Linked DNA regions of Cricetulus griseus. The protein of the gene in region 1 interacts with the protein of each later gene in a biochemical or structural test. Links are inferred from orthologs where the notes say so. Each region holds a gene or a part of one and is shown on either strand. Other genes may lie near its edges.

Region 1 (5,283 bases):
AAACAATAAAGACACAAACTAGCATGTTAAGAGTAAAAACAAGGGCTGGAGAGATGGCTCAGAGATGGCACTGGCTGCTCTTCCAGAGGTCCTGAGTTCCATTCCCAGCAACCACATGGTGGTTTACAACCATCTGTAATAAGATCTGGCGCCCTCTTCTAGGGTGCAGGCATACATGAAGACAGAATACTGTATACATAATAGCATTTTTTTAAAGATTTTATTTATTTATTTATTTATTTATTTATTTATTTATTTATTTATTTATTATGTCTTCTGCCTCCATGTCAGCAGAGGGCACAAGATCTCATTCAAGGTGGTTGTGAGCCACCATGTGGTTGCTGGGAATTGAACTCAGGACCTTTGGAAGAACAGTCAGTGCTCTTAACCGCTGAGGCATCTCTCCAGCCCACATAATAGTAATTTTAAAAATTCAAATACAGCTGGGCAGTGGTGGTGCATCCTTTTAATCCCAGCACTCAGGAGGCAGAGGCAGGTGGATCTCTTTGAGTTCAAGGCCAGCCTGGTCTACAGAGCAAGTGCCAGGACAGGCTTCAAAGCCACAGAGAAACCCTGCCTCTAAAAACCAAAAAAAAATTCAAATCCAAACCCAAATAAAGTATCATTTATTCGATGTACAAATAAAGATGTCACATACACAAAATCATTCTCTTTTTAAAAAGAGTTTAGATTTAATTCGTATTTCAATCACCAAATTCCAAGTCTACATGCTAATCACCTTAGTTTTAGTTCCTAACATCCAGAACATTAATGTTATTTTCCTAATTAACTGATAAAGCATGGGAAAAAGAACACAGATGACTTAGGAAACTGTAAAGCTATCAGTTGTTCAACAAATATTGTCTTATACCGACTTCAAGGTACAGTTCTAGGCAAATTGACTAGCCACAGCCAGAAAGCTATAGATCTAACACCTTCCACTTGCTAGCTTTTAAGGGTAAAGAGCATAACAACTCAATATAGGCATGCTAAGATTTCAAAGTACTTCAGGATCAAAGAAAAATGTTTGTATAAAGGAAAAGCAGTAGGATAATGAAGCTCATTACAGTTTTCCATTACTTTTATAATTTTAATTTTAGCTTGAGTATTAAAAAAGGATATGCATATATAAGTATGTGTGTGCATAAATTATGTTCAAAAGACTTACCCCTTGTGCATGAAGATACTCAACAGTTTTAGTTATAGTAAACAGGACAGCACTGGCCTCTCGCTCTGAGAAAAACTTCTGTCTAAGAATTTTATCCAGCAATTCGCCTCCTTTCATAAGTTCTGTTACTACATACACATATTTTCCATCATCATACACCTATACAATTTAAATAAAAACATAAAAAATGATTTGAAGCTTTATGTATGTCTCTAAATTACTACTTAAACATACTAAAGATTAAGTGAATATATTAAAAGATACAAAAATTGCATGTTCAAGAAAAATTTACTTGTGAAAAACCAATACAGGATTTCTGGAGATTGTGTTAGAGTCATTTATAGTGAGTAGTTTCACATTTAATGAGACTTAGACAACATCATTTATCTAAGAGAAATCATTCTGAGAAAATAAGAGTTTTGACAATATCTAGACAGCCTCTGAGCCTATGTGAGCACCAACAATCGAGAAACCTGACTACTTGAGACAGGGATATTTTTGTCAAAATTCAGTTATAATAAAAACCACAGGAGATAGAGGTACCAGGGCATCCCAGGTAAAAGATACCTCACTTATCCTGGGAGTGGTAATGGACAGGAAAGGCTTCCTGGAAGGAAGCAGCCTGTAGCAGAGTCTTAGTTGTTGCAGTCAACCAGGTAAAAAAGGGAAATGATATTCCCACCGAAAGGTCGACACATTCAAAGAGCACTTGGAGAAAATGAAATACGCATGTTTTAAAAAGTCTACATCCCAAATAAAGCATGGCCAGAACACAGGATGTAGGGGAAGCTGTAGCCATGCCTACTTAGGGGCTGGCTACAGGTGTGCCTGACCATGCTTGTGAGGGCGTGGTCAGGGTGATGTAGAGTGAGACTTTCAGGGGACTGCATTTCTCTTTCAGCTTCACTTTTGTACTTGCTGGACAGACCGCTGCCATGCCGGCTGGCTAGGTCGCTCTGTAAGTAAGGCTTTTCCCTATTAAATACCCTTATATTTCCACTTGGTTCTGTATTGGTAATTTCCCACTATAACAGGATGTGTAAAAAACTATGAAAACTGCTACAGAGGAAGGCAGGTGGGAGGATAGCATAGGGAGCCTTCAGAGACACTCACAAATCTTGAATATTAATATTTATATGTTCAAATTCACATACTATAAGTAATAATGTTAAAATAGTTTTTAAAGAAAAAGCAGAAAATTAGATATTCTTAAAGTTTTATTAATTTTTAAGATTTATTTATATTTTTAATTGCATGTGTATGCATCTGTGTGCACATGTGTGTGTGTGCACATATGAATGTGAGTGTTAGTGCCTATGGAGGCTAGAATCATCATATCCCATGGAGCTGGAATCACGTACGGGTGGTTGGTTGTAAGCCACCTGATGGGTGCTGGGAATCAGACTTAGGTCCTGTGGGAAAGCAACAAGTACTCTTAACCACTGAGCTGTCCCTCTAATATTTTTCTCCAATCTATTTTTTTATATTTACTTTAAGTTAATATATAAAGTAATGGGTTACATTATGAGATTTTCATAAATGCTGTTTTTTTTTAAACTCAATCCTCCTCCTCCAGTATATTCCCTTCTCTGTCCTGCTGGCCCTTTCCTTCCTACTACAAGTCATATCCCCATCCTAAACAACATTCATCAACTCCCAAGGTCATCTTTCTGATTTCATGACCTATAATCCCCACTTTTGTATACCCCCCCCACACACACTAAAAAAAATCTAGGATCTTCATATGAGAAGGACTATGCAGTATTCATCATTCATAGCTCAAGATAATAATTTCTACTTTCATCCATTCGAATTTACTTTCTAAATTGACTATTCTGAAGTGGTCTTTCTCTACCACATAATATTTGAAAAATATCCTAAATATGAGTTTGACAACTGCTTCAAGTGATCTTTGTTAAAGAATCTACTTACATCCTTTAGAGTAATGATGTTTGGATGCTGTCCATAACGAAGAAGAATTTCAATCTCTTCTGTTGGGTCTCTCTTGCTTTTATCAATAATCTAAAATGCAGATATTTATCATAAATATTTTTGAACATGAACCATAAATGTTTAGTTATAGACCTTAGGTATCATCACATGTAAACACTGTACACACAAGCCATTTACCAATCAGTTGTTGTTAAGTACTTACCCAGATTATTTCATTGGAAAGGTAGTCTCCACATAGATGGCTATATAAGGCTAAGCATGTGACACATTCCTACTAGGTCACTTCAAGGTAAGTTTGTAGTAAATTTGGGAATTATTAAAATTCAAAAGCCTCAAGAAAAGTCATCAAGAACAAAGTTACCACATCATTTTTTTCATCCTTGAATTTCTCAAACATTTGAGAATTCAACTTCTAATCACCTATCAATACAGAAAACTAAGAGATAGATGTGTCTCCAATACCACCATTAGCATCTGCTTATTGCACAGAATTTCTTTCTTTTTTCAAGAAATGGTTTCTCTGTGTAGCCCTGGCTGTCCTGAAACTATCTCTGTAGACCAGGTTGGCCTCAAACTCAAGAGAACCACCTGCCTCTGTCTCCTAAGTGCTAGGATTAAAGGCGTGTGCTACCACCATCCAGCTAACTTTACTTCTTTTAATTATCTTAATGGACTATCACATTAGCTGTAAGCTACTTACAAAAATTAAGTAAACAAGCTTATTTCTGAATCTAAGCAGAAAATCTCCGTATAAAACCACCCTAGAATATTAGTTGACTACATTTACTATATAAAGCTCTTTAAAATGTTACCATAGATTTTAACTCTTTTATGTCAGTTGCTTATATTTTTTCTTAATTTTTTAGTATATTGAAGTACTATACAAACATATTTTTAAAATTTAATGTGTATAGGTGTTGTGCCTACATGTGTATATCTATCTGTGTACCACATACATGTCTGGTGACCACTGAGGCCAGAAAGGGTGTTGGAGTCTCCAGAATTGGAGTTACAGATGATTGTGAACTCCCACATGGGTTCCAGGACTCAAACTGGGTCTGCTGGAAGAGTATTAAGTGCTGCCTTTTAAAAAATAATTTTATTTTATATGTGTGTACATGCATGTGCAGGAGCCCTCAGAGATCAAAAGTGGATGTTGGACTACTGTGAGCAACTATGTGGATGCTGGGAAACCCAGGTTTTCTGCAAGAGCAGCATGTGCTCTTAACCCCTAAGCCATCTTTCCAGCCCTAAGTACTATATTTGTAAAAACAATTTGGGCTTTGTTTTATGAGACAGGGTTTCATGGACTCGAGACTGGCTTCAAACTCACTATTTAGCTAAGGATGAAATCCCCCTGACTTCTCCTGCCTCCACTCCCAAGTGCTGGGATGATAGGCATGTGCCACCATACTTTGCTTTAGATTTATTCAAAGAATAATCTGAAGCAAATTTTGTGGTTCAATTTTACTTTATCAGTTTTAGTTGTTAAATGTTTTAAAGACAAATTCTCATTTTGTAGCCCAGATCAGCCTCTAAGTTAACCATGTAGCTCAGGCTGGCCTCACAGTGAAAGCAATCTTTCTAAAATGGGCCCTCAGGACATGTTTGATGTGTTTATGGAGGCAAGACACATGCCTAAACTGCCTATCAAGTACACCATTCCCTTTTTCTCATTGCATGTTAGAAGTCTGAAATTTCTATTCTCTTTAGATTTCAATAAGAACAATGAACAGCAACCAGCATGTTAAATGCATTTATATGGTTCATCATTGTACCTGATAGAAAGCCTTATGGACACTCATGTCTCTTTAAAGCAATTGTATCCAGTTTTACATAGTAATAACAATTTGCTACTCTTTCATTAACTAAACATGAGCTACTTATAAACTACTATGCAGATTCAAAGTCAGTTGGAAGCTTTAGGCAGTACTTGAATTACCTGAAGTGGGAAAGGATAGATTACTATCATAAACAGTGAAAAGGCAGAATTTGGATATGCTTGTTCATTCATAGATAGAGGTTTAAAATTCAAACTATCACAAAACTAGATGCTCAGGTTTTGGCTTGGATACTTTTGTCTTAAGATACCATATGAAATTGAAATTACTAATGATAAGAAATGATCATGGTTCTTATTCTTTTAATGGTTCAAAGATTCA
Region 2 (5,109 bases), on another chromosome or scaffold:
AAGCTACATCTAAACTCCCCTCCCCCCATCACCCAGCCTGCCTGGGAACTGGGCAGGGGGCCAGAGCCAGCCGCTGCTTGGTATTCTTGGGCGCGGGGGCTGCAGGCACAGCACAAAGGCCTAGGAAAGAGGGCTGAGTTGGGGCCTAGTAAACTATCAAGGGAGAAAATGGGCTCCACAAAGGTGGGGGTGGCCCACTGCTCCCTGCTACCCTAAGACCTAATAATCTAATGCAGGGGGTAAGCATGGGAGGGACAGGGATCCATCAGACCACGTAACTAGGCATCCATCCAAAATGAGTCATTAATGGGGTGGTGGGAAGATGAAATGAGGGACCCCTTTGCTTCTGGTGAAGAATGGAAGAGAGAATACAGGGGCTTCAACCAAACCTTTTTAGCTTCTCACTGCTAAGCCAAGCCTGTGACAGGGGGAGGAGTTGTAGGTGGGTGGGGCAATTGGGGAGGGGGACTTGGAGACTGTAAGAAAGTCTGAAGAATGTTGCCATGGTAACCGCCTCCTCAGTCAGGGGAGCTGTTGCCAGGGTTACTGTTAAGGGAGGGAAAAAGAAAGATTGTGTGTATGGGGTGGGGGGGGGGGTAATGACTTGTCATTCCATGGTGGCTCCTAGCTTTCCTGAGTTTCTTCTTGTGTGTCAGGGTTTTCCTTGGCTCCCTCCAGACCTGCCCTCTCTCCTAAACCTCCACATTTTAGGTACACACCACCCTAGCAGGACAAAGTGTGCGCTCCTGTGTGTGTTGTTGAGCATGGGGGTAAGGCGCAGATAAGTCTGGGCAGTAAGTGAACCAGACCCACACACTAAGCTCAGCTTACTACTCTCCCTTTATTACTCTCCCCTCCAGTCATGGCCGAGTACGGGACTCTCCTTCAGGACCTGACCAACAACATTACCCTTGAAGATCTGGAGCAGCTCAAGTCAGCCTGCAAGGAGGACATCCCCAGCGAGAAGAGTGAGGAGATCACTACAGGCAGTGCCTGGTTTAGCTTCCTGGAGAGCCACAACAAGCTGGACAAAGGTTGTGGAGGGGGCTCTGTTCATTCAGCAAACAGAAATGTACACAACCCTCTTACACAAAGTGACACCTGATGACAGGGCAGGGTAAATGATAAACTCTGAGAGACTACGGGGTTTCCAAGACAGTAGTCATTAGACATGCTTCATGTATGGCTTTTATTAGTATAAAAGGGTTTTCAATACCCTTGTGCTACCACTGTATATAACAGGACATGAAAACAATTTAAAGTGGTAAAACTTAAAACCATGATTCTAATGTTTTCTTACCTACTTTCAGAGGGAGGGAGACACTGGATTAGAACAGTAACTCGCAGCTGGGGCTTGCAGGGTGAAATGGTGTGTAAGACAGTCCCAACTGCTGGCAGAGTAGCAGGTTAAAGTACTTGCCATGCATACCTAATGAGGGCCCAGGGCTCAAAGTGAAAGAGGCAAACCAACTCCTCAAAGTTGTCCTCGAACCTTCATGCTCATACCCACACTCACACACCATGATGATGTTAGACTCCAAAGGCAAGTGGGATTCCTAAGGTAGAATCCAGAGGACCTGTTTAAGCAAAGGAATGCAGTGTAGCTTAGCAGGACTAAAAGGACTGGGTCTAATTACAGGTAGCTGAGAATGTCAATCTTGAGTTACATGTGTGTGAAAAGTAAAGTAACCTCAGAGTTACTTTGTATGAACTCTTCTAGCTATAGTGCAGCAGACAGTATGAGGAGAACTGAAGGAGGATCTACCACAACTCAGACTATTGCCACCACTGGGGCAGGGGGCTTATGGTCTGATGGCACATATAATCTTCTCAAACCACCCTGATTGTGTCAGAGCTTTCGCTCCCTTAGTACGTCACTTTTCTTACTGGGCTCAGAACCTCTTTGATTTGGCTATAATCTCGTCCTGTTGCACGTGTGGTGTCTGGGAATTCTTCCTCATACTCATGTGGAAGGAAAGTAGAAAAAGGACAGGGTCAATGTGGGGTAATTTTGAAGGCAGCTTTTCTATTGTCCCTTCTTCGGAGGATGGACTTGATATCCAGCCCAAAGTCTTTATTTTCCATTTATGCCCCAGAAAATTTCATCGCCTCCTGTCCTTCCTAGGATCAGTCCTTGAAACTGTTTGGCTGCCGCAAACTTTAGCCCCTTCTTTCACTGTTGTCCCCTTGGATAACCAACATAAACAACTCAGGGTTGGTTCAGGAATACCAGTTTGGCAGGGTAAAAGTTGCCCTCTCTAGCCTAGCTCTGACTCAAGCTGCCTTCCTCCAGACAACCTCTCCTACATTGAGCACATCTTTGAGATATCCCGCCGTCCTGACCTACTCACTATGGTGGTTGACTACAGAACCCGTGTGCTGAAGATCTCAGAGGAGGATGAGCTGGACACCAAGCTAACCCGTATCCCCAGTGCCAAGAAGTACAAAGGTAACTGTAACTGGCCATGCCTTGGGCATAGCTACATTTCTGCTTTTCCCCTCTGACTATATTCTTAAGAGTGGAGAATCGTCCTGAATTTGGGGAGTAGAGACTGATGCTCAGTGGGCCTGCCTAGCAGCCCTGGACACACCCCATCTTTGCTTTTTTCAGACATTATCCGGCAGCCCTCTGAGGAAGAAATCATCAAATTGGCTCCCCCACCAAAGAAGGCTTGAGCAAAGGGGAGGAAGAGGAGGAAGGTTGGATCTTCATCAGACCACTCCCTTCCCCATCCTCAATGGGAGGGGCTAGGGCAACCCCCTGCCCCGTACCCACTTACTAACTTGGTCCTAACCCCCTTACTATGCGCGTGTGTGTGCGTGTTCACACGCTCTGGCTGTCTGTCTGTCTAGCTCATCTAGTTCCTCCTCCTCGTGAGGGGACTGGAGTCGGGAGGGGGGGGCTTAATTTCCCCACTATAGGGGGAAGTGGAAGCTATTTCTATGTAAATAGAAATGGGCACATTCCTCCTTCTCCCCTCCCCTCCACTCTTCCCGCATTTTCCTACACTGAGGAGCTAAGGTTAAGATGAGGTATGGGAGAGATGGTGAGAGTTAAAACCAATGGGGAAGGAAGGTAAGAGGCTACTCAGCCTCTACCTGGAAGGGGAAAGAAAACCCAGAATTCAGGGTTTGTAGATCTATGCTGGACTGGCTAGAATCCAGTTTCTTGTTATTCCTTAGGCTGAAGTCCTAAGAGCCAATAGGCCCTCTTTTATGCCCTTGTCATGGGCCTGGGATGGGTATGAGCCAGAAATCTTAATGAGAAGACCACTAGAGCCTTTCCTGGCCCCCAAAATCAAACCCCATGGAGAAGCCAGCATTTGATGTCCCCAACTTCTGCTCTGGAGAGACTATGCTGGGACCATGTACTACTGAGCCTGAGATAGGGATGCAGGTGGAGACAGGCCCAACTTCTACTCCTTTATTCCTAAATACAGACTGTTGAATATACTGACCCTGAGCCTAAGGAGGTTTGGGGGAATGAGATCTATAGGTTTTAACCTCAACCTGCCCATACCTACAGGGTCCCAATATGGATATTGTAGGTAACCTTCACACCAGTCTCCAGTTTAGAATACCCCAAGCAAGAAAGAAGTTAATCATAGTGGTTTCCTTTGCACCTATTACCACCCCAGTTCAATCCAGGAAGGGACTTGGTTAACCTTTCTCATTTGGGTTTGTGGATGCCTCCAAGCCAAGTCACTAGAGTACAGTGAGTGAACCCAGCCTCCTACCTGTCCCAAGATGCCCTTCCCCATCTTGACCGTGCTAACTGTGTGTACATATATATTCTACATATATGTATATTAAACCCGCACTGCCATGTCTGCCCTTTTTTTGTGGTTTTTAGCATTAACTTATTGTCTAGGCCAGAGCAGGAGTGGGAAGGGAATGCCACAGTGAAGGGAGTGGCAGAGCAAAATTGTTACATAGTCCAAACAGCATTGAAATCAACCACAGCAAACATTAAATTTACATGCAAGCTCAGAGACTTTTTAGAGGAAGCTTGAAGGTAGGAGCTTCTAGGGTGTGGGAGCAAAGCTCCACGGGGGGTGGGGAGTGGGGGGGCAGGCTGTCAGAAGAGGGAAGAAGCCAGACTGGCTAGCGTACCCCCAACTCCTAGCCCAGCCCAGTCTGCCCATCCCCCTGGCCACTGCTGCAGACACCTGCCTTAACACACACACCTCCAAGACTCCAGTTTTGCCTTAAAGGTCCTTCCTGAGACTCCCTAATTCTGTCTGGCTTTTCCTTTAAGAAAGGGGATACTTGTACGACTGGGAGAAAGGAAATCAGTATAAAACATCCTTCCATCTGGGATGGTGCATGAGAACAAGAGTGAGATGGAGCTTTCCTTATGGAGGAAACACGAGAGGAGAGAGGGTGCTTTTCAGCAATTTCTCTGTAAGGAAACAAACAAACAAACAAACAAACACTTTTAAAAAGACTAACCTGCCCTAATAGACTGACCTACCCTGCTACCTTTGTGCTGCTATGAGGTTGCCCCTAGTCCATGCTCCTCTGTCTGCAGCATGCATAGCCTTGTTCTAACCCTGGAATAAAGGTGACTGACTGTGCTGTACCTGACTGATTCTAGAATTCTGTGAGTCATTAAGAGTTGGGGAACCTCTGAATGACTGGGAGGGGATGTGTAGCCATGCCTTCCCTATTATAATTCACTTCTGTATAAAACATGGGCCTGGAAAACACCCCCAAATAACATGCCCCGCCACCTCTAAGTATCCCAGACCAGACTTTAGCAGAATCAAGTATTTATACTGGAAGGAACAAAAGTACTCTGTCACAAATAAATGGACCACATACCACACAAGCAGCAGTCGGGGGGGAAAAGCTTTACTGAGAAAAAATACAACAAATTCCAGAGTGCATGGTTTTAAGCCCACCTCATAATCCCCCTAGCAGTGCGACTACTCGCTTACTTCACTCCCTGCCTCAAGAAGGAAGGAAGTACACAACTGGCATCTGGTCTGAGCTGCTAGGAAGGGGTCAGGAGGAAGAAGTGTGTAGGAATACCACCCTCTGCTCTTTCCCCCTTCTTCTTGGCCCAGAGTGGTCAAATCAAAACGTCCCAGGATGCAGGATTCCTGA

What was found. The genes of interacting proteins can lie anywhere in the genome.
Region 2: the proteins of Rps6ka3 (region 1) and Pea15 form a complex in vitro, tested with the Homo sapiens proteins (2 studies listed by BioGRID). The link is inferred for Cricetulus griseus from reciprocal best matches to the Homo sapiens genes RPS6KA3 and PEA15.

What each region holds. Positions count from the first base shown.
Region 1 is NC_048604.1:94,270,886-94,276,168, reverse strand, and holds part of Rps6ka3 (ribosomal protein S6 kinase alpha-3), read right to left. Parts: intron 3,191-5,283; coding exon 3,101-3,190; intron 1,328-3,100; coding exon 1,169-1,327; intron 1-1,168. UniProt on the Homo sapiens protein: Serine/threonine-protein kinase that acts downstream of ERK (MAPK1/ERK2 and MAPK3/ERK1) signaling and mediates mitogenic and stress-induced activation of the transcription factors CREB1, ETV1/ER81 and NR4A1/NUR77, regulates translation through RPS6 and EIF4B phosphorylation, and mediates cellular proliferation, survival, and differentiation by modulating mTOR signaling and repressing pro-apoptotic function of BAD and DAPK1.
Region 2 is NC_048598.1:20,661,504-20,666,612, forward strand, and holds the end of Pea15 (astrocytic phosphoprotein PEA-15), read left to right. Parts: intron 1-860; 5' UTR 861-862; coding exon 863-1,034; intron 1,035-2,293; coding exon 2,294-2,449; intron 2,450-2,611; coding exon 2,612-2,676; 3' UTR 2,677-3,820; downstream 3,821-5,109. UniProt on the Homo sapiens protein: Blocks Ras-mediated inhibition of integrin activation and modulates the ERK MAP kinase cascade. Inhibits RPS6KA3 activities by retaining it in the cytoplasm. Inhibits both TNFRSF6- and TNFRSF1A-mediated CASP8 activity and apoptosis.